Linked DNA regions of Danio rerio. The main gene of each other region encodes a partner of the protein of the gene in region 3 in a complex. Links are inferred from orthologs where the notes say so. Each region holds a gene or a part of one and is shown on either strand. Other genes may lie near its edges.

The links.
Region 1: mediator of RNA polymerase II transcription subunit 26-like (region 3) and med20 share a complex: the UniProt entries of both Homo sapiens proteins name them as parts of the mediator complex. The link is inferred for Danio rerio from reciprocal best matches to the Homo sapiens genes MED26 and MED20.
Region 2: mediator of RNA polymerase II transcription subunit 26-like (region 3) and med23 share a complex: the UniProt entries of both Homo sapiens proteins name them as parts of the mediator complex. The link is inferred for Danio rerio from reciprocal best matches to the Homo sapiens genes MED26 and MED23.
Region 4: mediator of RNA polymerase II transcription subunit 26-like (region 3) and med24 share a complex: the UniProt entries of both Homo sapiens proteins name them as parts of the mediator complex. The link is inferred for Danio rerio from reciprocal best matches to the Homo sapiens genes MED26 and MED24.
Region 5: mediator of RNA polymerase II transcription subunit 26-like (region 3) and med18 share a complex: the UniProt entries of both Homo sapiens proteins name them as parts of the mediator complex. The link is inferred for Danio rerio from reciprocal best matches to the Homo sapiens genes MED26 and MED18.
Region 6: mediator of RNA polymerase II transcription subunit 26-like (region 3) and med31 share a complex: the UniProt entries of both Homo sapiens proteins name them as parts of the mediator complex. The link is inferred for Danio rerio from reciprocal best matches to the Homo sapiens genes MED26 and MED31.
Region 7: mediator of RNA polymerase II transcription subunit 26-like (region 3) and med16 share a complex: the UniProt entries of both Homo sapiens proteins name them as parts of the mediator complex. The link is inferred for Danio rerio from reciprocal best matches to the Homo sapiens genes MED26 and MED16.

What each region holds. Positions count from the first base shown.
Region 1 is NC_133197.1:578,330-581,997, reverse strand, and holds the end of med20 (mediator of RNA polymerase II transcription subunit 20), read right to left. Parts: intron 2,393-3,668; coding exon 2,139-2,392; intron 920-2,138; coding exon 695-919; 3' UTR 501-694; downstream 1-500. UniProt on the Homo sapiens protein: Component of the Mediator complex, a coactivator involved in the regulated transcription of nearly all RNA polymerase II-dependent genes.
Region 2 is NC_133195.1:2,599,294-2,602,793, forward strand, and holds part of med23 (mediator of RNA polymerase II transcription subunit 23), read right to left. Parts: intron 3,409-3,500; coding exon 3,243-3,408; intron 2,824-3,242; coding exon 2,751-2,823; intron 1,173-2,750; coding exon 958-1,172; intron 1-957. UniProt on the Homo sapiens protein: Required for transcriptional activation subsequent to the assembly of the pre-initiation complex. Component of the Mediator complex, a coactivator involved in the regulated transcription of nearly all RNA polymerase II-dependent genes.
Region 3 is NC_133186.1:5,668,093-5,672,234, reverse strand, and holds the start of mediator of RNA polymerase II transcription subunit 26-like, read right to left. Parts: upstream 2,801-4,142; 5' UTR 2,655-2,800; coding exon 2,586-2,654; intron 2,039-2,585; coding exon 1,961-2,038; intron 1-1,960. UniProt on the Homo sapiens protein: Component of the Mediator complex, a coactivator involved in the regulated transcription of nearly all RNA polymerase II-dependent genes.
Region 4 is NC_133187.1:11,200,937-11,204,436, forward strand, and holds part of med24 (mediator of RNA polymerase II transcription subunit 24), read right to left. Parts: intron 2,349-3,500; coding exon 2,255-2,348; intron 939-2,254; coding exon 839-938; intron 1-838. UniProt on the Homo sapiens protein: Component of the Mediator complex, a coactivator involved in the regulated transcription of nearly all RNA polymerase II-dependent genes.
Region 5 is NC_133191.1:7,708,827-7,713,113, forward strand, and holds the start of med18 (mediator of RNA polymerase II transcription subunit 18), read right to left. Parts: upstream 2,801-4,287; 5' UTR 2,535-2,800; coding exon 2,462-2,534; intron 690-2,461; coding exon 136-689; 3' UTR 1-135. UniProt on the Homo sapiens protein: Component of the Mediator complex, a coactivator involved in the regulated transcription of nearly all RNA polymerase II-dependent genes.
Region 6 is NC_133196.1:43,308,451-43,312,392, reverse strand, and holds the start of med31 (mediator of RNA polymerase II transcription subunit 31), read left to right. Parts: upstream 1-1,142; 5' UTR 1,143-1,282; coding exon 1,283-1,304; intron 1,305-1,800; coding exon 1,801-1,875; intron 1,876-2,060; coding exon 2,061-2,157; intron 2,158-3,942. UniProt on the Homo sapiens protein: Component of the Mediator complex, a coactivator involved in the regulated transcription of nearly all RNA polymerase II-dependent genes.
Region 7 is NC_133186.1:14,629,193-14,632,692, reverse strand, and holds part of med16 (mediator of RNA polymerase II transcription subunit 16), read right to left. Parts: intron 3,194-3,500; coding exon 3,060-3,193; exon of another isoform or gene 2,897-3,059; intron 1-2,896. UniProt on the Homo sapiens protein: Component of the Mediator complex, a coactivator involved in the regulated transcription of nearly all RNA polymerase II-dependent genes.

The DNA.
Region 1 (3,668 bases), on a different chromosome or scaffold from region 3:
TTGGGTATTTTTTAAAGTAGAAAAACTTTTTTTATTAGTGCTTTGTGCAAAGAGTAATCACATCCAAAATAAGTGTTTCAACATAATACTGTGTGTGTGTGTGTGTGTGTGTATATGTGTGTATATATGTTTGTATATACATGTGTATGTGTATATGTGTGTATGTATGTTTGTATATACATGTGTATGTGTGTATATGTGTTTATATATGTAGGTATGGTATATGTGTGTGTGTGTGTGTATATATATATACATGCAAGATTGTATTTATGTACACACAATAAATACACACTACACACACTTGCATTACTTCGAAACAAACTATTTTGGATGCTATTTTTAATTGTGTTGAAATTTTGCGCAGCACTATTTTCCATGCGTTGATGTATGTTTTTTTTTTTCTTGCCAATTAGTTTACAATACAACACAACACTGTTTTGCGGACCTGAAAACACAAATGTTCAAAAACTGGTCGATTTTGAATAAATAAAGGAGTAAAATTCAAAATTAATTAGTTTATTTTACAAAAAACAAGGTCAAACACAGGAAGTAATTGGCTATATAAAAAACAACACATGAACAGATGTATTTCGCAGAACTTGCAATCGAAATAAATGAGAAATGTTCTCATCACATAGCTTATATAAAGTTCTCTCTATATAAGGACACACAGTGCGCTAGTGTTTGTTCAGTTTTAGCGTACGCCGCTGCCTGGCAGGACCTGCTGTTTGCGCACTTTACTGAAGAGCTCCAGGTATTGGCTCATGGTGTCCATGCAGTCCACCGGCACGTACAGACCCTCCGCTTTATTCGTAAACACCGTCGGCAGCTCGGGCGTGTTAGAGCCCAGAAAACTTTGCATAAATTCCTTCATGAGGTTCCAGCAGTCGCCGGGAATCACACACGCGCAGTACTCCACCTGCACACACACACAGCGCAATTAGCATACATTTCTCCATTTTAAGTTAAGACAGTGGGACTTATTCAAACACATCATATTTTATTACGATATATTATTTATTATTATCAATTACATATACAATGTACAGTAACTATTAGCTTTCACACAATCTTGTCAACTACGTTAGCGGTCCTCATTACCACTAACGGTATTGTGTTAGCAGTACATTCCCAATAGCGATTTAAGACTTACTAAATTAGTGAACGATAACTATAACGGTAACTATACATGTGTCCATACTAGCATGCGATAAGTATAATGAAAATTATATTAGCATTCAGACTAGCTAGCAATAATTATATTACTGTCCACATTAGTGAGTGATAACAACAACTATACTAAAAGCTAAATAGTCGACACCAGCAGACCATAATAAATATATTAACATTTTACTAGCAAACAATTATTTAAACGTTAACTATTTTGTTCAAACTATTGAACGATAACTATTTTAGTTTCCATACTGGCAAATGATTAGTATAATTGCTATATTTGCTACTTGTTACTATAATCATACTATTGAACGATAATTATATTAATGTGCACACTAGTAAATTATAGCTAATATCAGTGTGACACGCAAATGAAAAATAACCGTAATAGCTACATTAGAGTCCAGACTACCGAACAATAACTATATTAATGTCAACACAAGTGAACGATAACTATAGCATTAATAAATTAGCGTTCACCTTACTGTTAAGGCTACGGTTTGCTAAAGTATATGCTAATATTAGTTAACGCTATAGTTATTGTATGGCAGTCTGGACACTAATATAGTTATCATTTTAGTTATTTCTCACTAGTGCGGACATTAATATATTTATTGTTACAGTTATGTTTCGCTAGAATAAATGCTAATATAGATAACGCTATAGTTATTGTTTGGTAGTATGGACACTAATGTAGTTATTGTTCCCCAGTGTGGACACTAATATAGTTATCATTGTAGTTATCGTTAACTAGCGTGGACGCTAATATAGTTATCGTTCACTCATGTGGAGACAAACAGTTATCACTCACTAGTGTGGACTCTAATATAGCTATAGTAATAAACCTGCTGCAGTTTTGATGAGTAATTTTTGCGTACAATTCTTGTAAATTCATAATAAATGTTAGTATGAAACTGATACAACACTCATAACGTGTATTTAAGCTACTGAACACATTTTAGTACCTCGACTGAAATCCCTCGTGCGCTGGAGCTCATGGCAACAGTGCCGATCTTCACCAGAAAGTCGCAGTAGCGATAGCGAGTGCCGCGACTCTCCACTTTGTGTCCTTTTGCATTCTGAAAGTGACTCTTGAGTTTGATCATGAGGACGTCGAAGTTTGCGTCGGCGCTGAGTCCCGGTCCGCCCTCGAACAGAGCCATGCAGCTCAGTGGCGCCTCTGAGTTGTGCATCACGTACAGCAGCTTTGACGGCTGACCTGTGGCAGACACGTTTATATATATATATATATATATCGTTTTATATGTAATATCAGAGTATATGTAATAACGGTTAATATGTGATCTCATTTTATTTGTAATATCAGATTATATGCAATCTATAAAATTATTTAATCTGGATTATATGTAATTGTTTTATATTTAATATTGGTTAAATTGTAATATCGATATAACTAATATTGGTTTATATGTAATCTCATTTTGTATGTTATATCGGTTTAATTGTATTATCGGTTAATATGTAATTGGTTTATAGGTAATCACGTTTTATAGGTAATATCGGTTTATGTGTACTCTCGTTTTCTATGTAATCTCGTTTTATAGGCAATATCGGTTTATATGTAAGATCGATTCAAATGTAATCTTGTTTTATATTTAATATTGGTTTAAATGCAATCTTGTTTTATAAGTAATATCGGTTTGTAAGTAATCTCGTTTTATTTGCAATAGTGGTTTATCTCGTTTTATATGTAATTTTGTTTTAAATGCAATATTTAAAATGTAATCTCAGTTTATGTAATTTTGTTTTATTAGTAATATTGGTTTAATTGTAATCTCGTTTTGTATGTTATCGGTTTAAATGTAATCTTCTTTTATTTGTAATATTGGTTTAATTGTCATACCGGTTTATAAGTAATCTCGTTTTGTATGTTATATCGTTTTAATTGTAATATCGGCCTGTATGTAATCTTGTTTTATTTGTGATATCGGTTTAATTGCAATATCGGTGTTTATGTAATCTCATTTTCTATGTAATATCGGTTTATAGGCAATATCTGTTTACATGTAATATCGGATTAAATGCAATCTTGTTATGTAATATCGGTTTGTATGTAATCTTGTTTTATTTGCAATCTCGTTTCATATGTAATATTGGTTTGTATGTAAAATCGGTTTATTTGTAAACTTTTTTTATATGTAATATCGGTTTGTATGTGATATCCGATTATATGCAATCTCTAAAATTATGCAATCTTGTAATCATATTGCAAAAATCAAGATCTTGTAATTATAATAAACTCCTTTTTAAAATACTCGTAATCAAATTAGTTACTTTTTAATTACATGATTCCATTATGAACATTATTTTTATATATATATATATATATATATATATATATATATATATATATATATATATATGTGTGTGTGTGTGTGTGTGTTTATAATAAATATGCTGTGAATATACGTTTCTTATATTCTTTTCATTCTATGTGTGACATCAACTAAGGGTTAGCGCAAAAGTAATCTAAA
Region 2 (3,500 bases), on a different chromosome or scaffold from region 3:
CTAGAGTAGAATAAAGTAGATCAGAGTAGAGTATAGCAGAATAGAGTAAGATAGAGTAGAATAGAGTATAGTAGAGTAGAATAAAGTAAGACAGAGTAGAATAGAGTATAGCAGAATAGATTATGATAGAGTAAAGCAGAATAGAGTAAGACATAGTAGAGTAGAATAAAGTAGATCAGAGTAGAATAGAGTAGAGCGGAATAGAGTAAGATAGAGTAGAGTAGAATAGAGCAGAATAGAGTAAGAGAGAACAGTAGAATAAAGTAGATCAGAGTAGAAAAGAGTAGAGTAGAATTGAATAGGGTAGAGTAGAATAGAGTAAGATAGTAGAATAGAGCAGAATAGAGTTTAGTGGAAAAGAGTAGAGTCGAATAGAGTAGAGAAGAATAGAGTAAGATAAGAGTAGAATAGAGAAGTTTAGAAAAGAGTAGATCAATATAGAGTAGAATAGAACAGAGTAGATAAGTAAGATATCCAAGTAAGATAGAGTAGAATAGAGTAGAGCAGAGTAGAGCAATATAGAGTAGAGTAGAGTACAATAGAGCAGTGTAGAACAGAGAAAACCTTATAGTAAAGTGTGACCAATGTAACAGCATGATTACAGCATTCCTATTGAATAATGCGGATCTTATTGCTTTCTCACTACAACCGAACTGTTTCAGAGTTCAATTTAATTGAGCCGAGACCACCACATTCAGGCGATCTCCGAACGATTGTTTTGGTACAGATCAGAGAGCGATTGTGGGTTTCCACATATGCCTGAACGCAACAGGTTCCCAACAAAACTTAAACTTAGGATGTACTCACACTAGGCATAGTTGTGTTGAACAGTGCCCAGGCGCGATTGTCAAATGAATAGCCTAGTGTGAGTACATCCTTAAACTAACGTGTTACTGAATAATAAAAGAGCTACTGCCAGTTTTTCAGCAGAAAAGTGATGCAGGTGTAAAGTCTTACTTGGGTATGAGCGAGAGCTGGCCGATGCTGGAGTGATGCCACACGGCGTGAGCCAGAGCCAGAACGTAACTGCAGTGCATCTCTGAGTAGGACTGATGGCAAGCGGTGAAGTCCAGAAGCTGGAATGGGTAACCCAGCCAATCTGACCCAGAGCTGAGCACCGCACTGCTGATCACACTCACGATACGGTCATGCAGGACGATCCAGTAGGGCTCCTGCAGAGAGAAATACAAAGCATTAAACACAGATCTGCGCAGCTCGTGGAATAAAACACAGTCTTCTGGTTTCAACTAGCAGCTAGATCTCTGCAACTCTCACATGGTCGCCCACTGAAGCTAAGCAGGGCTGCGCCCGGTCAGTACCTGGATGGGAGACCACAGGGGAAAGCTAGGTTGCTGCCGGAAGTGGTGTTAGTGAGGCCAGCAGGGGGCGCTCAACCTGTGGTCTGTGTGGGTCCTAATGCCCCAGTATAGTGAAGGGGACTCTATGCTGCTCAGTGAGCGCCGTCTTTCGGATGAGACGTTAAACAGAGGTCCTGACTCTCTGTGGTCGTTAAAAATCCCAGGATGTCCTTCGAAAAAGAGTAGGGGTTTAACCCCGGCATCCTGGCCAAATCTGCCCACTGGCCTGTCCATCACAGCCTCCTAACCCTCCCCATATCATAATTGGTATATCATCACTCTGTCTCCACCAATCAGCTGGTGTGTGGTGTGCGTTCTGGCGCAAAATTGCTGCTGTCACGTCTTCCAGGTGGATGCTGCGCAGTGGTGGTGGATAAGGGAGATTCCCCCACTGTGTAAAGCGCTTTGAGTGCCCAGAAAAGCGCTATATAAATGTAAGGAATAATAATAATAATTATTATTATTATTATCAACTGTTTATTACTGTTAAGCATCGTTTAGAAAATACTGATTTAAAAGAGAGTGGTGTATGAGCTCTGTATAGACTTAATTCTCTGACTTTCAATGCCTGAAATGGACCATATAAAATCCCATGACAATCCCAACCCTCTCAACTCTGTGCATTTGTACTGAAAAATATATGTATATTTGGCAGCTTAAAGACGCCTCTCATATGGAGAATGAAGTAAAAAATGCATCGCTCAGGTGTGAGTTTCTCACAGACTTCAACAGAGAGTCAAAATCTTGATGGTTCTGTGGATCAAATCTGAGCTTTATTTTGTAATCTCTATTGGATTCAAGTCAGGTGATTGGCTGGGCCATTCTACAGCTTGATTTTCTTTCTCTGAAGGCATCTGAGAGTCTCCTTGGCTGTGTTTTGGATCATTGTCTTGCTGAAATGTCCACCTTGGCTTCATCTTCATCCTCCTGCTGATGTAGATGTTGGACTGAAGCAGCTGATATTCATTTACACCGAGGAAGGGCACTACTGAGAGATTTCAGTTGCTGTCTGGGCTTTCACTGCAGAACTACACCTCCCTTTCTTCATGTGTTCAATACTTTTTCCCTGCTTCATTTCATTTTATTACACAGAACTTCATTTGTAAACTAATTAGATTTGTTTTCTGTGCATACAAGGATTTCTTTGGTTGTTACCAACATCTGGGGAAAAGTCAGCCGCACCTCTAGAAAAATGTTTCCTGAGAAAAATGGTGCCACAATGAATATTTAATTCCCCCGCTGTAAACGATTTAAAACTCTTTTAAACTCATGTATTTATTAGTCACCATCTTATTGTAATACCCATGTCATTATACACATTTGGGTCCTGAAATGTCACAAAAAAACACACACACACACACACACAAAATGTAAATAAAGGTGTGGCCGTACAGGCAGAGCGGTGATGACCAGTCCGATGGCGTTCATCCAGGCCGTGATGTTCTCTCGAGGCACCAGCGGCTGACTGTAAAACACCAGACCCATAATTCAACACACAGCATGACTCCACTCCTCCACACACACACACACACACGGTAATGAAGATAACACACCTCTTGAGCACCACATTAGCAAATACACAAACTAATGAAACCTTATAGTGACCAATGTAACAACATGAATAATGCATAAATCAATTCACACCAATAACTAAGACCTCAGTTCATTAAACTACTAATTAGCAGCTTATTAATAGTTAGTAAGGTAAGCGTTGGGTTTAGATATCATGTAGGGTTAGAGATGAAGAATAAAATCATACTTTATAGCAACTAATAAACAGTTAATATAGTAATAATAAGCAGGTAATAATGCAATAGTATGAATTCAACACACAGCATGACTCGACAACTCCGAACACACCTATAATAACTCCTAATGACAAACCTCTTGAGCACCACATTAAGCAGAGCATTGCCCACGTCTTTCCCCGGGACCGCCAGAGCCATCAGCTCCACACAGGTGACGTGCAGCGCATGAGCGGCCGGGTTCGGGAACTCGTTAAACCTCCAGTCACAGTTGGGGAACGGGCCTGGAGATTTACCTGCCATGGGTGACTTCGGTTAAGGAGACGCTGGACTCTAAATGACCTAACATTTAAAGGTGCAATACATAAGTCTGACACCCAGTGGTTGAACAAGGTAT
Region 3 (4,142 bases):
TCGAGCCTCGGCTCAGTTGGCGTTTCTGTGTGGAGTTTGCATGTTCTCCCTGCGTTCGCGTGGGTTTCCTCCGGGTGCTCCGGTTTCCCCCACAGTCCAAAGACATGCGGTACAGAAGAATTGGGTAGGCTAAATTGTCCGTAGTGTATTTGTGTGTGTGTGTGAATGTTTCCCAGAGATGGGTTGCGGCTGGAAGGGCATCTGCTGCGTATTAAGCCGACAAGAAAATGAATAAATTAATATGAGAAAGGTAATAATATCTTTTACAATACAGTTTTTTTTATAAAGGCAGTTATTCCACAAAATAAATTTAAAAAGTTGAATATTTAAGAAAAGGACTTGATCTTATTTGATTATTCATTCATTTTCTTGTCGGCTTAGTCCCTTTATTAATCCAGGGTCGCCACAGCGGAATGAACCGCCAACTTATTCAGCACATGTTTAACGCAGCGGATGCCCTTCCAGCCGCAACCCATCTCTGGGAAACATCCACACATGCTCATACACTACGAACAATTTAGCCTACCCAATTCACCTGTACCGCATGTCTTTGGACTGTGGGGGAAACCAGAGCACCCGGAGGAAACCCATGCGAACGCAGGGAGAACATGCAAACTCCACACAGAAACGCCAACTGAGCTGAGGCTCGACCCAGTGACCTTCTTGCTGCGAGGCGACAGCACTAGCTACTGCGCCACTGCTTCGCCTTATTTGATTATTTTATTTTAATCTTATAGAAATAGTTGGCAAAATATGATTTTAGATGAACAACACATTCCAGAATTTGCATCTCATTTAGGAGTCCGCTACTGTCCATTTCGGTCATGGACACATGCTTTGAGAGCATTTATGAATAAAATATGCAATTTTCCATGAAGTCAACCCGGGGTGTTCAAATATAATTGGCTAAACTGGCAGTGTAATTTTCGGTAGCATTTGCTGCATCATCGTTAGAATTTATTTGTAACATTTTGTAACGGCAGAAATAAATATGCATTCACACATAATTATGGTTGAAAATGTCAACATGGGTGAGGCAGTGGCGCAGTAGGTAGTGCTGTCGCCTCACTGCAAAAAGGTCGCTGGGTTGCTGGTTCGAACCTCAGCTCAGTTGGCGTTTCTGTGTGGAGTTTGCATGTTCTCCCTGCCTTCGCGTGGGTTTCCTCCGGGTGCTCTGGTTTCCCCCACAGTCCAAAGACATGCGGTTCAGGTGAATTGGGTAGGCGAAATTGCCTGTAGTGTATGAGTGTGTGTGTGAATGTGTGTGTGGATGTTTCCCAGAGATTAGTTGTGGCTGAAAGGGCGTCCGCTGTGTAAAAAACTTGCTGGATAAGTTGGCAGTTCATTCCCCTGTGGTGACCCCGGATTAATAAAGGGACTAAGCCGACAAGAAAATGAATAAATGAAATGAACATTTTTAAAGGTGGCACATTAATTTTAATAGCTGTATGACGTGAGTTTCTCTGAAGTGCTCACTGGTGGTCTGGTCTTTGCTAATTAAAATCTGAAAATTAGTTTTTTTTCTTCGTCTGCTCAACCTAAAATAAATTAATTTAGATTTTTTATAACCAGACAAGATGGTCACTCTATAAAATACTGGCTTGTGTCAACCTAAACCTGAGGAAGTTTGTGTTAATAACTCCAGCATATTTTAGAATGGCTGTTTTGTGCTCATCAGAGCAAGCTAATACATGTTTTGTAGGGTTTAGTAACGTTTTTATTTATTTATTATTTCTATAAATGTAATTTATATAATTTTTATTCATCATTTGTTTGTTTCATTTAAAATTGTGCATGTACTATTCAGCCTTTTCCCATATTTTGTAATATACTGCATTTGTGAAGCTGCTGTGCTCCTCCTTTGTGATTTTAGTCTTATTTATTCATGTTTTCACACAATATAACAACACATCATTTTCTAAATTAAACTCTGTGCAAACATACCGAGTTAGTATCTTACCTCTAGAGTCTCTTTAGTCATGGGGTAACTTTCCAGACAGCATATCACATCCAACACAGCCACCATGTTCTGTATCTGCTGACAGGTAAAGGTTAAGTTCATGTCACTTCAGACTTTCAGTCTACATCATCTACATTTACTGCTATTTTCCTCTATACACTGAGGTCAGTTTCTGTGTCTTTTTCAGACATGAACGTTCTCATATATTTTCTCATATGTGCACCTGGAGCAGTCACACTTTCAGTCATCATTTGTGGTTTCAAATGCAAATCTGCTTGCACGCTCATTCCTGTAAAACTCTGTGAAATAATGTCTATAAAACTTGCTTTAAAAAATAAATCCCACAACAGATTGAGCAAACCAACAGTCAACATACATGTAAAAATAAAATAAAACCAGCCAATCTTTCCTTTTCAATGAAACAACCAATTTGAAATACTGTAGTGAGGAACTTTTGTCCTTTAATTTACCTGAATTAATTAAAGGAATAAAAACAGTCATGCTTACAAATGACAAAACTTTAAGACAAAACTTTCATAAAAAAAAATAACAATCAAGAACACATTTAGCATAAACGACATGCATTTAGAAGGACTTCCCATTGCATTACTCAGCTCTTACTCACATTGTTTTGAGCATCGACGGCCTGCATGAGCTGCTCTTTGAGCTGTTGGATACTTGAAGCTCTTTTCATTGTCAGAAAATGACACTTTTAAAAACGACGTCCACTAATAAATGTACAACAGCATGAGAACACAAACAATATGCAAAGCCCTTTTTAAACCTGCATCGTCGATATGAAACTACTACAGCCAGTCCCGTTTGAGCTCAACTCTCCGTGTCCACATATGAATGCAAATGACTTAAATGGTTTCAGCAGGTGCAAGATGGGCTTTTAAACATGATTTAAAGAAACACTGCACCTTTTTCAAGGCTCTCTTTACAAGTCTCCTAGAGTTGAACAGCTGACTTGAAATGTTTTTTTTTTTATCCATTCAGCCATTTCTTGCTCTGGCGGGGTCACTTTTAGCTTAGCATAATGAATTGAATCAGATTAGACCGTTAGCATTCACTCTAAAGAGTTCAATTTTAGTCTCATCAGACCAGAGAATTTAGTTACTTATGATCCAAGAGTCCTTTAGGTGCCTTTTGGCAAATTCCAGGCGGGGGGTAGCTTCTGTCTGGCTACTCTACCATACAGGCCTGATTGGTGGATTGCTGCACAGATGGTTGTCCTTCTGTAAAGTTCTTCTCTCTCTACAGAAGAACGCTGGAGCTCAGACAGAGTGACCATTGGGTTATTGATCACCTCCCTGACTAAGGCCCTTCTCCCCGATCCCTCAGCTTAGATGGCCAGCCAGCTCTAGGAAAAGTCCTGGTGGTTCCAAACATCTTCAACTTATGGATGGAGGCCGCTGTGCTCATTGGAACTTTCAGAGCAGCAGAAATGTTTCTGTAACCTTCCCCAGCCTTGTTTTTTGAGACAATCCTGTTTCGGAGGTCTACAGACAATTCCTTTGTCTTCATGCTTAGTTTGTGCTTTGACTTGCAAGGTCAACCCTGGGACCGTATATAGACAGGTGTATGCCTTTTCAAATCATGTCCAATCAACTGAATTGACCACAGGTGAACTCCAATGAAGCTGCTGAAACATCTCAAGAATGATCAGTGGAAACAGAACGTACCTGAGCTCGATTTAGAGTTTCACGGCAAAGGCTGTAAATACTGATGTACATCTGATTTTTCAGCGTTTTTATTTTTAATAAATTTCTAACAATTTCAAAAACTGTTTTACATTGTCATTATGGGGTATTGTTTGTAGAATGTTGAGGAAATAAATTAATTTAATCAATTTTTGAAAAAGGCTGTAACAAAGAAATGTAGAAAAAGTGAAGCCCTATGAATACTTTCCAGATGCACTATATAGGGTTAAAGGGCACCTATGGTGAAAAATCTACTTTTCAAGCTGTTTGGACAGACATGCATGTATAGTGTATAGACCGTCATATTGGGGTGATATAAACACACGGCCCTTTTTTTTTCCAATTTAACACTACAAAAATGGACCAATTGGAGCGGTTTTCAGAGCGACCACAACTTGACGTAGGAGTGCAGTTCCCCCGCCCACCAATATTGATTGACAGGCGCGTCCCCATATCCTTAGTTTGTCGTTTTATGGGCG
Region 4 (3,500 bases), on a different chromosome or scaffold from region 3:
GCTAATGATTCTGACTTCAACTGTATATAAACCAATGGTTACAGGCTTCCAGCTTTTTTCAAAACATCTTCTTTGGTGTTTAACAGAAGAAAACAAGTAAAGGTTTGAATCAAGTAAAGGGTGAGTAAATGACAGAACTTTCCTTTTTAATTGAAATTTTAAAATGATCCCTCAGGCAAATAAGATAACTGGTTACAAACAACATGCATTGCAGATTTGATGTAACTACTTTCAAAAAACAGCAATTGAGTTTTAAAGATCAAACACATCCCCTTCACTCAGCGTATGAAATAATACATCAGGACATTTAAAATTCCTAGAGACTGAGGAAATGCTTATAAAAACTTGTTTTATTATTATTAATTGTGGTTGTTGTCCTAAATCCAAACTTTTTTTGATGTAAATTTGGTGTTTGTTCTACATTCTAATTGTTGTATGATTTTATTTATATGTTAAATTCAGTGTTAAAGACAAATTTGCCTTCAGTGACAAGCAGAACAGACAATAAAGTTTAAACAAACACGTTTACTGCATTGTCTTCTGTAAATTAGGTTGTATATGTATTTTTCAGTCATTGTGTCAGGAGTATACCAAGTTCTACTGCCACAGGAAGCTCTAAACTGATGCAAGACAAGTTGCATATTTGTGGGGAGTTTTCAGCAAAAAACTGCAGTATATGCATTTTTTACAGCACACTAAAAGTGAAATTTCTTGATTGACTAATAGACACCAATGGCATATTAACCCCAAAAGTGAAGTTCAGGTGCAGTACTGAGCAGTATATAATTTTAATGCAGTTGTTATAGGTTTTGTTTGGTTGAGGCAGGCAGGATATGACCTGGACTGGACAGCATAGAATTCTCGTCCTCATTGGAGCTCAGCAAACGCATCAGTTTAGATGGCTGTGTGTCATCCAAAGGGAACAGGCTGGTGTAGTCCTGCAACCAATGAAAGAACAGTGAATGAGCTGAAGTGTTTATAAAATCATGAGGTGTACACACATAATACACATGTTGATTTTGCAGGCAAATGTGTGACCCTTTATCAGATTTCTTAATCATTTTTTTTCTGTTATTTCTGAATATTAAAATAAAAGAATAATAATAATTATTATAATAATAGTTAGCCAATGTTGATTGTATTCAATCTTCCATAATTGTAATTTCCCCAAAACATAATTGCAAAAAACATGAATTTATAGTTATCTAACTAAATTATTTCTAATTTAATTAATGTATTATTTCTTCTCAGCACATTTCTGTCAATACCAGTGTAAAAACAGCAAATAAAATGTGTCACCTGCTTGCAATATCCTTTTAATGAAAATGTCCATAATTATAAATAAAATACAAGCAGTTATTAGTATTTGAAATTCTGATGACAGACACTGGACACAAGTGAAATAAAGAAAGCGAAAGTGATGTCTACAGTTGCTATCTATCACAGTCTATCAGAATTATTAAATTCCCTGAATTGTTAAGCCCCCCTGTTTATTTTTTCCCCAATTTCAGAGAAAAGATGTTTTCAACACATTTCTAAACATAATGGTTTTTAATAACTTCTCTAATAACTAATTTCTTTTATCTTTGTCGTGATGACAGTAAATAATATTTGACTAGATATTTTTCAAGACACTTCTATACAGCTTAAAGTGAAATTTAAAGGTTTAACTAGGTTAATTAGGTTATATATATATATATATATATATATATATATATATATATATATATATATATATATAAATATATATATATATATATATATATTATATAAAAAGGGGCTAATAATTTTGAACTTAAAACGTTTATATAAAATTTTAAAACTGCTTTTATTCTAGCCGAAATAAAACAAATTAGACTTTCTCCAGAAGAAAAAATATTGTCAGACATGCTGTGAAAATTTCCTTGCTCTGTTAAAAATCATTTGGGAAATATTTAAAAAAAAAGAAGAAAAAAAAAAATCAAAGGGGGGCTAATAATTCTGATTGCAACTGTATATGGCTATATGGTGATTGTGTTAAATGTATGGAAATTTACATACAGCTACACAGCCTATATCTACTTTGCTTTAACGACCACTTTATTTTTATTAAGTTAGTGTGGTTAATGAAGATATGAATGAGATTCAAAGATGAATTATATGCTTGGTAATAGTGAGCGCAAAAGAGACTAATTGTGCTTTCATTTTAAGCTCATTGCTCTTAAACTGTCAAAGTTCTGATAACGCTAGCTGTGTGAAAAACAGCATAACTGACCTCTATATCCTCACGGTGTCTTTTGCGTTGTCGTGCTGATGCTTGACCCTTATGATGAGACGAGTAAGAACTGAGAGCACACCACACTGATAACCTAAACAAATAAACAGAGATATTAAATACCTCAAACAAAAAAATAAAAAATAAAAATAAAAATAAATAAATATATATACACAGTTGAAGTCAGAATTATTAGACCCCCTGTTTATTTTTTTTCCCCAATTTCTTTTTAACAGAGAGATAATTTTTTTCTATACATTTCTAAACATAATAGCTTTAATAACTCATTTCTAATAACTATTTTTCATGACACTTCTATACAGCTTAAAGTGACATTTAAAGTCTTAACTAGGTTAATTAACTCAACTAGGCTGGTTATGATAATTAGGCAAGTTATTATATAACAATGGTTTGTTCTGTAGACAGTCAAAAAATTAGCTTAAGGGGCTAATCATTTTGTACTTAAAATTGTGTTTAAAAAATGAAAAACTCAAGTCGAAATAACACAATTAAGACTTTTTCCAGAAAAAAAAAAAATTAAGTTATTCAGTTAAACATAATTTGTGAAATACTTAATTATTTTTTTTTTTATTAAAATCAAAGGAGGGCTAATAATTCTGACTTCAACTGTATCTATAAAAACATTGTGGCTTTCGGTTCCTAACTGTTGGCTTTGAGATGAACAAAATCGCAGACAAAGATAAAGCTGACATTGAAAATGGCATCAAAGCAGTTCACCGACTGTCGACAAGGGTGTTTGACAACATCTAAAGAACATCTTGAGAAGAGAAACTAAGGGAAAAGCGTGATATTCATCAGAACGGATGTCCGTTTATAATCTCAGACTGAAAAAAAGTAGTAAGTGGACGTAAGCAAATCAAAAGAGGAACTAGAGTAAAGAACGGAGGTCCATTCATAAATATATACACTTTAAATCCATGAATCAACCCTTTCTAAGAAATAATCAATCAAAAAACAACCATCATAGTCTGTAAAGCCACTGGGTCAGAGTACCACTTCTCATTCCATATTAACACAAGTAGACAATGACGTGCGTTTTCCAATTGGTTTGAATAATAGGATGAACAGTAACAGGATATAAATGTCAGCATTACTGAAAATTTGTAGAAATGGAGCACTAATGATCTAATCTGGCACAAAATAGGCTAAGCTTCAATTCCTGACACAAAGTAGAATCCCATGATGTCACTGCAATGGTACTCAACATTTTTTGAGTCAAAGTAAA
Region 5 (4,287 bases), on a different chromosome or scaffold from region 3:
TATTTTTATTTAAAGATTTTAATTAGCATTTCATCAATTACAAAAAAAGAAAACAATCATCAAAAATATTCCAAATAAATGCAGTCTTAACACCTATTCACCGAATTAAAAATCTCAGTCTGTAGGTCATGTTCTCTACATGAGTCTTTTGGGATCAATCTTCTCCAGGTGAACGAGAGGTTTGAGCTGTTCTGCGAAGCTCCTCATGTCCTCAGACACAGTGTCCTGTCCCGCAGGAGCCAGAACGCTCAGCTCAACAAGATACGACAGAGAGAGCGGCTCCGTGTTATCCGTGTTTCCAGGAACCAGCACACGCGACAGTTTGCTCACCACCACCTTCATCACACCCTTCCGGAACACCTGACCCTTGGCCACGAACTCATGGTCCATGCGGAAGCCCATCTCATTGAGGAAGTCAGGCAAGCTGTGCGAGGCTGCCACGTCCACGCAGTTCCGCACCAGGGCATGACGGCTTTTGTCGCCCACCTCGGGCTGACCCAGATAGCGCAGGTGCCAGGGGACGGAGGGGTCGAGGAGCGAGCGGCGGGCACGCAGGATGAACGGGTTGCCCTGCTGACCTTTCAGGAGATACACCAACTCGTGATCAGCAAAGCTCTCAGGCTCCATGTTATCACACAGGCCCCGGAGGCGATGCAAGAGACTCTCCAGAGATTGGTCCAGTACACTGCCTGTGCCAAACAAACCAACAGAACACAGCCAAGTCAAGATGGATAGATAGATAGGGGGTGGGATGGATGGATGCATAGATTAGGGGCATAAATAGATAGATAGATAGATAGATAGATAGATAGATAGATAGATAGATAGATAGATAGATAGATAGATAGATAGATAGATAGATAGATAGATGGATGGATGGATGGATGGATGGATGGATGGATGGATGGATGGATGGATGGATGGATGGATGGATGGATGGATGGATGGATGGATGGAAGATTAGATGGATGGACGGACGGACGGACGGACAGATAGATAGATAGATAGATAGATAGATAGATAGATAGATAGATAGATAGATAGATAGATAGATGGATAGATAGATGGATGGATGGATGGATGGATGGATGGATGGACGGATGGGGGATGGATGGATGGATGGATGGATGGATGGATGGATGGAGGGAGGGACGGATGGAGGGACGGACGGACAGACAGACAGACAGATAGACAGACGGACGGACAGACGGACAGACAGACAGACAGATAGGGGAATGGATGGATGGATAGATAGATAGATAGATAGATAGATAGATAGATAGATAGATAGATAGATAGATAGATAGATAGATAGATAGATAGATAGATAGATAGATAGACAGACAGAAAGACAGACAGAAAGACAGACAGAAAGACAGACAGAAAGACAGACGGACGGACGGACGGACAGATAGATAGATAAATGGATAGATAGGGGAATGGATGGATGGATAGATAGATAGATAGATAGATAGATAGATAGATAGATAGATAGATAGATAGATAGATAGATAGATAGATAGATAGATAGATAGATAGATAGATAGATAGATAATTTAAGCCTGTTCCTATACATCAATAAAAATAAAATTGTAATTGTGACTAATTTGTCTCAAGTAATGTCACAATTTCTCGCAATGTGGTGTCAATTTCTTAGTTAATGCTTAATAAGTCACTAAAAAAAAGATGTAATTGTTTTAATAAATTTAGTTATTAAATAATACATTTCAGTTGTATTTTTTTACTTACATTAACTTATTAACTGTAATAAATGTCGATATCCCTCACTGTGGCTTTTTGTTTTAATGTATGAACTAAGATTTACTAATGAGACCATATTTTGAAAGTGTTATTGATTATACTTTATGAATTAGCTGTATAATTTTGTTAAAAATGTATTTACTCCGAACACACACAAATCTGGTAACGGTTTAAGTAGGAATGGTAATATATGACCAAATAAGCAAACTATATTATGCAAACAATAAGACTCAGCAAAAAGAACTCTCGTGTAGCACAGTGCATGCTATAATTGTATAATTTAAATTATAACAATTGTAAATTATAATACTACAAACACTACAATGAATACATTGTATACATACTATTATTATGCTAAACTATTCGTTTTATATAACGTTAGCACATTCATAAAGTAATACTGTAGTACATGTTTTTATTATACAGAATCCCAAATTAAAAGTCTTAAGGAATTAAAGAAGATTAGGGTGCGTTAAATAAAAATAGTTTAAAACGCTAGAAAATGTGTGTGTATTGTTTATAATTACATATTCACTTTAACATATTCAACGCTTTATTCAAATGACTTTGCTAATTAAAAAATTGAGATTGCTCATAATGGGTATTTAAAAACTAAGTTAAAACTATTTAATAAAGTGTAACAAATGATAAATAGGAATGAATGAATGGTAAAAGGAGTTGTGCTGATGGTGTTGTTTACCTTGCAGAAGATACTCCATCATGTTTATAGTTCCACCCGTGACGGGCATCACAGTAACCGGCGGAGCCTCCATCACTCTATTATTATTACTATTACTAGTATTATAATTCTGAACTTAAGTCTCTTAATACATTTACAGTCAACGATCAGTTGAAAGATTAACTTAAACTAGAACTTTAACTGCTGTAGAAAACATCCACAACAATAGACATGCTAAGACGTGTTAGAAGATATTATCAACAAAAAGCAGGCAGACGATGAATTAAAAATAGCATATATTGTACTTGTATCAAAAAGCAATAAACAAAACTAATGATTTGCGTAAAATACTACGAAAAAATAATGTGTCTCGATGAAACTGCGTCCATGTGAGTAAAGCGCATGCGCAGTATGGATAGCGAGTACTGCGCATGCGCATTGTGCAACGCTTGCTCTATTCTTTTAGGCGTGCATTTAGTGACACCTACTGGACTGAAGTGAACTCTTTATCATATAAAATGGGTATTAAAATTGAGTATTATTAGCCTATTATTAATAGCAGGAGAACATCAATTATGGTTGCGAAAAGCCGATTGCCCTGTTGATCAAATTCAAGTCAAGGTGTTTGCTTGCAGAAAAACTAATGGCTCTAAGAGGTGGGTGTGATTTTGCCAATGCAATCATGGAGTGACATCTATCCTGGAACATGTCCTACATGAAGAAATAATTAGGCTATTCCTAAAATACAATATATTTTTTTTTATGGAGTAATGGAAATCACTATTTTAAAATGGAAAATTATGTGTAAACAAAAATGCAATGGTGGGTTATCGGTGTTCATTTTTTAAAACTTTAAACAATACATTCAAAATTAATTGGTTAATTAAATACAAGAAAGAAAAAGACAGTAAATGGTATACTTTTCCATATGGCGCAGTAGGTAATGCTGTCGCCTCACAGCAAGAAGGTTGTTGGTTCGAGCCTCGTCTGGGTCAGTTGGCGTTTTTGTTTGGATTTTGCATGTTGAATGTCCCTCCCTGTAGGGACTAAGCCAAAAAGAAAATGAACGAATGAATGAATGAATGAATGAATGAAGTTATATTTTGTGTCAAAATTTAGTCAATGAGGGAAGTTACTTTAAGTATATTATACGTTTCAGTGCACTGGCAGGACTTTTTTTATTAATATTGTTATTATTATCATCATCATCATCATCATTTATTATTATTATATTGTTATTTTATTATTTATTTTTTCTAGCATTTTCTTAGTTATGTGCATTTCTCATAAATACCTAGTTTTATAAGCTCACGTTAAGCATATTTTCCAAAAATTATATTGTTTTAATAATTGTTATTATTTCATATCATATTATTTCCAAATAGCTTAAACATGCATATTTACCATTTACATGCAGTACGTACGTATGAACCAATGGTATGAACCATGAACGCAAAGCAGTCGAGTAACTTTTATTGTGGAAAACATTAAATGCACTGTGACGTTTATTTTGAAAATAAATCGACATGTGGAGACCTTTATTTTGAAGTTTCGTGCCATCTTAGGGCTGCATGACATCGCTGGCTGTTGAAGATGAGCTCAACTGTAATGCTTCCTGTCGACATCTAATGAATGTAATTTACTATTATGTGTCTTTTACTTACGTTTGGATGCAGTAGTGTTTGTAATCGAGACAGTTATGGTGTTGTTACCAGCTCCAAAGGTGTGTCTCCGAGTGCTGTGTTTTTCTGTCAGTCCTTATTTATTTACACACATTATCAGTCTGACACCTTCAGATAGGCGAATAAATGCCTCAAACACATTAGATAAGTTGGTCTTTTAAAGAT
Region 6 (3,942 bases), on a different chromosome or scaffold from region 3:
GATCAACTTTTGATCATCTTTTGAGAAATTGGTTGGTTGGATATATTTTATGTATAATTTCACTTTATTAGTGACACAATACTTGTTGTTATAAGTCCAGATCAAGTTCCAATAGATATTCTCAGATTATTCCAAAAGTATTTGTGTCTAAAAGTGGCAAGATAATAAATCAAGCGTCTACAAAATTTATTATTACATTTTCTATCTTTGAAATCAACACCATGTAATTAAATCTCATTTTTAACTGTTAGTTTATTTGGTTCACTGTAACTCTGCAAAAGCCCCGCCAGGCCTTGTGGAGGCACAGGAACTAAACTTCTCAAAAAAATTCAGTAGCCTATAAGTCAGTAAATATCCTTCATCTTTTAAGCTGTGAGACCAATAGAACACCTTTTTAACCAAATTATCATGGAAAATAGATTTTTTTTTCTTATATTCCAAGTCACAAAATGTATTTTGTAGGCTACAAATATTACTACGAAAAAAAAAGGTGCAAATGCCTCATAAATACTTTTTTAAAATATTGCCTGAACTTTATTCGGCTTACTTATTTGTTTCTAAACATTTTGATATTCCGAGTAGTTGTACATTTTGTGGTGAGGATGATGAAACTTTAATACAATTATTTTGTATGTGTGAATTTGTTCAGAAATTTTGGTTTGACCTTTATCGTTATTAAACACTCCTCCTACCTTTGCACAATATTTTAGTTTAAAATAAAGTGTTTGTTATTACTCAGAATAAATCTGAAGAATTTGTTTTCAACTTTTTATCTTGTTTGGAAATATTTTATACAAATATGCATTGTTTCAGTCCCTACTTTTCGACATTTTCTCATTAAAGTTGACTCCTGCTCAAATCTTTGCGTACGTGTAACAACAACAAAAAATGTGTCAGATACTTGGCTCTACATGAAGAACTGTTGACTCTGATTTGAGTTAAATAGCTCTTAATTAATTTATTTTTATACAATTTTATACAAGTGTAATTTACTTACCCCTTACAAATGTAGTTTGTATTGTTCCTATTTTGTATCTCTCTTATATTGATCTCCTGATTGTGGTTGTAAGTTTTCATTCTTTATTATTTAAAAAAAAGGTGCAAATGTCGTGAAACACTTTTACGACAGCAGCACTGGTTTTATGGCAAAAATGGCGTCAGCGGTCTATGTCCGCATAAACAATGAGTAATGTGTTGTTTTTGGTAATCGCGCTCTAAAAAATCTTTTTATACTAATCATTTTCCAGATATTTCAGCGTCGTCTGAATTCTCGTTGTCCGTAATGGCTGGTGTTATGGAAACAGGTTTGTTAAAATTAGATTGAATTGTTATTTAGCACATCTTTGCCCACGAGATTCCTAGCAATGTGACAGTTAACGTAAATACAATTGTTTGGTAACGTATTTTAGTTTCGTTTTGATCATATTAAGTTATACAACGTTTTAGAGGTACTACACTATGTGTTATTTTCTGTACTGGCGCAGATATATGTTGTTCAAGCAATTTCTGTAACACTTAACATTAAGGTAGTATCGTCGTTAGCCAATGTTTGCTAACATGAACAAACAAGAATCGTTATATTTATTACAGTGTTTGTTCGTCTTTGTTAAAAGTATTAATGAAATAAAGTAATCTCAACTTACGGTGCATCAACTAATGTCAAGCATGAACTTGCATTTTAATTATGCACTAATACAAGTATTGTTCGTTGGTAGTTCATGAATACATTTACTAATGATTATTTGTATTATTTCTTTTCAAACACAAACATTGCTTACGCTTCTATTTGTGCTTTGACAGACGAGCAGGCGAGACAGCGCTTTCAGCTGGAGCTGGAGTTTGTTCAATGTCTGGCAAACCCAAACTACCTGAACTGTAAGAACAACGTTAACTCTTGTTTCTTTTTTACTGTTCGCTAAATTCAGTCATTACTTTAGTCATTGGTCAAATTCACTCATTGGTTGTTACATTCTGTAAATTCAAGGTAATTTTGTTACTGTGGTCGAAATATGAAGATGGATAATGATTATTAATCTTAATTTTTTCCCCCCATCCTGCAGTTCTGGCTCAGAGAGGTTACCTGAGAGAGAAGCCTTTCGTCAATTATTTAAAGTATCTGCTTTATTGGAAGGAACCAGAATATGCTAAATTTCTAAAGTAAGTAACATGTTGTTCTTGTTGAAATAGATTGTTAATTTGTCAAACATTTCTTCTTTGGATGATGAGTGCTTCTAATAAAAGCATGAAAGAAAGAAAGAAAGAAGGATATAAAATTTGTTCAATATCGTGTAGTTCTAGTGCATAATATTTATTAGTTATTTATTATTAGTTATTTATTAGTTAGTATTATTAATTATTTATTAGTTTACTAGTTATTTTGTAAAATACTATTATTCAGCTTAAAGTCCTGTTTAAAAAATTGACTAGCTCAATTAGGCTGGTCATTTGACAGCAGTTGTTTGTTTTGTAGACAGTCGAATATAAGAAGTTCTTAAGGGGGTGAAAAATATCGACCGTAACGTTTTAAGAAATTTATTCTTTTAATGCCACCAGAATAAAGAAATGAGACATTCTATATAAGTTAAAACGTAATAGTTTAGAATAGAAATATAAATATTTGTTTTGCTAAACATGACTTGGGAAAATATTTGAAAAGGAATTAAGAATTTTACAGGTGGTCTAATAATTTAGCTGTATATAGTTGTATTTAAAAATGTAAATTGAATTACAAGTTTAGTATGTGTGCCTAATCTGTATGGAACAAAATTAATGGCAAAAGTATTGAAATAAAAAGTTTGTTGATTAGCATTAACTGAAAAAAAATAATGCATTGAATAAGCAACTGCTTGCATTTTAATGACTTGAATTGCAAGAGTTTGTATTTTTAGGGCCTGAATTTTAACACGGCTGTTTATTTAAGCTGTGAATATTTCAACTAAAAATATTTTAAACATGTTTTTATACTTAAAATTTCAACAATTCATATTCAATTTCCAGATTTCATATATATATTAAAAGTTCAATTTTTAAATATATAATACTGGTGAAAAATATGAAGCATAATGTTCAAAATTTAACTTTCAGTTTGTTTACTTTTCAGTTTAAAATTTTGCTTCCAAAAATTCAGTGGTTTAAATTTGGCTCTTAAAATTCGACATTACTTCCGGGAACTGCAGGAACAGCAATAGATTGCAGATTGGCAATCTCCAGCTGCTTTTTCACTAGCAGGTGGACCAATTTAAGATTTTTAAACCATTAAATAAAGGTTTAAAAACTCCCTTTTTAAGGGAAAAAGCTAATAACAGCACAAAAGTAGCATTTAATATTGTCCTTGTTAAATTTTAACAGCCGAATTTGATCCACTAAATTAATGGAAGAGAACTTTTGAACTGAAATAAAGTGAGTTGAAAATTGTCTTTTGAATATTATACATGAAATCCGGAAATTAAGAATTATTATTTTTAAGTATAAAATAAGTATAAGAATTTTCAAGTATAAAAACGTGTTTGAAAAATTTTTAATTGAAATATTTACAGCTTAAATAAACAGCTGTGTTAAATTTCAAGACCTAAAATTACAAACTCTGGCAATCCAAGTCATTAAAATGCAAGCAGTTGTTAATTTAATATATTATTTGTTTCAGTTTGTGCTATTCAATACGTTTTTTTTTTGTTTTTGTTTTTTTTAACAATACTTTGATTTTGTTCCATAAATCTGCAGTTTACATAACCTAAACTATAAAGTTATATTATTTTATTTGTCAATATAAAGCAAAAACAGACAATATGGTGCCAAATTGTAGGTCGCTTACCATTAGTGCTGTGTGATACTGAACAGAAAAGATTTAAGCATTCTAAATAATTCAATGCAATATTTTATTAAAAATATCAAATCAATGAAATATTTCATATGATTTCAGGGAAAAGAGAACATCACTACAAC
Region 7 (3,500 bases), about 9.0 Mb from region 3:
CTTGTACTTGAGTACAAATTAAGCTGAGTAATCTACTTCGTTACTTTTATAATCACAATTCGTTACAGAGTACTGTCAATAAATTAATATTTCAGCCACGCACTGACCAGCATTTCGGTAGCCAATAAAAAAAGCTGATCTTAACGGACCAATGAAAAGCCTGGTACATTATTTGAACCGAAAAACAAGTTCAGGCTACTGCAGATTTACGTGACCGTCATCATACAATCACAAAGTTATCAATTGACATATGGAGATGTAAGACAGAAGAAATGAGGAAGAAATAGCAGAGGATGAATGCATGGCCACACCCGGAGGAGCTGTTCACCTACGGAGTGCAGAAACTCTTGACAATTCTGGAGGTCATTATTAATATAATATAATACTGAAATGGTTGAGGCGGTTTAGAATGACCAAAACAACACTTTAGATGTTTTACAATGTGCTTAGCCTGCTGGTTTGTCCATTCACACACATTTTCAAAATATATGCGCATTATAGCGTTTCCATCTACCGTTTTATGTGCATATCCAAAAAGCGCAAAAATAAGTGGATGAAACCTGCCCTCGGCTGTGCCATCCGGCTTACACAGGGTTTCTGTGGGGTCTTAAAATGTCTAAAATATAAACATCTAAATTTTAGCCCTTAAAAAGTCTTAAATTCGCTGTTCTAGATCTGAAATATGTTTGCACATGTCTTATTTTTCCGATGTACATGTAACGCTACTTCTAATGCTCATTTAATATAATTTTTTGTTGTTGCTTGGTTTCGTGGTGGTGTAGTTCTTTATTTCACTAGTCCTATTGTAATTTGCAGTATTAAAACTACAAATAAGCCCAGCATGCAATAGCTCAGTGCGCGCGGCGAATGTGACGTCATCGCCGTGTTTGCGGAGGTTCACTTTGGATGCGCGCGACATGATTTCGGGTGAACAGTTCGCGCGGCGCCGTGCTAGATTTGAGTTGAATTTGAATCACTTTGAAGAGATTTTGTTTGTAACAGTACGACTGTACAGACATCTTAACTATCCGACCATGCGTGGACAAAGAGATAACCAGATGACCGATAATTCTTGGCTAGAAATTGCAACAGCCATGGAAAGGAAGTGTTTTGTTAAAGTTTGGAAAAACCTGGGGGATAAGTTTGTTACAACAAAAAAGAGGCCATGGCAAAAGTGGAGACCCAGGTGGTTTTAAGATTACAGAATATGTTTTTCCACCATTTATAGGTTTTACACTGATGGATCATTTTGAAGTTAAAGCAATGTAACAAAAATTAAGGAACAAATTAAGTATTTGATAACTGGAAAATAATATATGAACCCATCAGCTTACAGTATACTGAAGCCCAATTTCTAGGCTTTATTGGTGATGATGGACAGGATTGTTGGACCATTATTGCCTTTTCAGCTCATTAGTAGAGGACAGAAACTAGCCAGACAATAATGTGTCAATTGTTGAGTGGGCAAAAAAAAAATTTTTTTTTGCTATTATTCTTGCCAGAATAAAAAAATAATAATTGTAGAGTAACCCATGTTCTGTTGTCATTGATATTTAACTTTAACAGGTAGAACTGTCCGTGATATAAACAAAAGTGAGTGATGCATCAAACTTTGATTTAAAAAATCTTGAAAAGATTTCATTCATTACAATCATTCATTAATTTTCTTTTTGGCTTAGTTCCTTTATTAATCTGGGGTCGCCACAGCGGAATGAACCGCCAATTTATCCCGCATATGTTTTACACAGCGGATGCCCTTCCAGCTGCAACCCGTTCTCATTTACAACAACAGACAATTTAGCTTACCTAATTCACCTAAAATGCATGTGTTTGGACTGTGGGGAAAACCGGAGCATCTTGAGCAAACCCATGCAAACACGGGGAGAACATGCAAACTCCACACAGAAATGCCAAATGACCCTGCCAAGGCTTGAACCAGCGACCTTTTTGCCTTGAGTCGAGAGCGCTACCCACTGCCCCACCCCGTCACCCAACTTTGTAATCATAATAAATTATAAAAATAATGAAAAATAATTATTTTTAAAATCTTGAACAATATTAAAGATATGACGTAGTCTTAAAAAGTCTTACATTTGACATTACGATATCTGCAGAAACCCTTTTTTTTTTTACAAGACTTCAGTCTATAATCTGAAAAAAAACATTATGGTAAGAAGACATAACTTAATTTGTGTGATATTTAATTTATTAATAATATGTTTAGGCACTAGGCAGTGTTGTTTTGTGGTTTCTGACGGTTCAGTTGGCGAATTAGGTAATTAACAAAGTTTCTCCATAATTTGCAAGTGTTTATTTTTTATATATTAAATCATCTATTGATCGTACAGATAAAAGAGGCATCATTTGAAATGATAAGAAGTCGTGCATTTGTGCATATTTCTGTTATCTTTATACTCAAAATAGCAAAACATTGTTTTTGTAAAATAATCATGGTGCGCAGTGGGTATCGCTATCGCCTCAAAGCAAACAGTTTGTTGGTTGAAGCCCTGTCTGAGTCAGTTGGTGTTTCTGTGTGGAGTTTGCATGTTCTCCCCATGTTGGCATGGGTTTCCTCTATAGGTGCTATATAATTATAATCTATAATTAATGCTGTTTACACAGTTTAAAAAGTGTTTATAGTATCTTTAGATGTGTTATGTAAAATGTGTTTTACTGCCTAAATCTTGTCTGACTCCGGATTTATGGATAATTCCACCAATACCGCCAAGCTAAAAAAGTAATTTGTAATTTTGTAATTTGAGTAGTTTTTACGAAGAGTAATTTGTACTTTTACTTGAGTACTTTTTAACACCAGTACTTTTACTTGTAATTGAGTACAATTTCAGCAATGTAACAGTACTTGTAATTGAGTACAATTTTTTTGTACTCTTACCACCACTGTTTAAAAGACACGAGAAGCAAGTGTAATGGTCAAATATGTCTGTCTAGCATGTCTTAACATTAAAAAAGCAATACAAAAGTAGAGGGTTGGAGAAGAAAAATGCATTCTGTGTAAAAGGCCTCAGATCATCAGTAAAGATCATCACAGCTGAGCTCACCTGGTTGGGAAGGTTGGCCAGCAGGTACAGAACAAAGTCTCCGACCCACTGAATAAGCTGCTGAAGGGACTGGAGGGGTGGTCCATCCAGAACAAACTCCTCTGTCTTCAGGTTGATCATCACCTTATCAATGTCTGAACACATATTAACAGATTAAAAGATGTGCTTAGTGTCAAAACAACAATAAATGTGTGTGGATAGGAGAATGCAAAGATTCATTCTATGTAGGTCTGTCATAATTATTAATTTGGTGATAGGGCTGTGCGATTTGGGGAAAATACCATACTACACTTTTTTTTTTTAAAGATATTACAATTTTGATGATTCAATTTTGTAGTCAAACTTCAGCTCAATAATCTTTATAGTAGCTTCTAATTGCTAAAATGCATTTAGAGTTATTTAAAAAAAGGAACTTAAAAGATACTAACTTATATTAGCAAA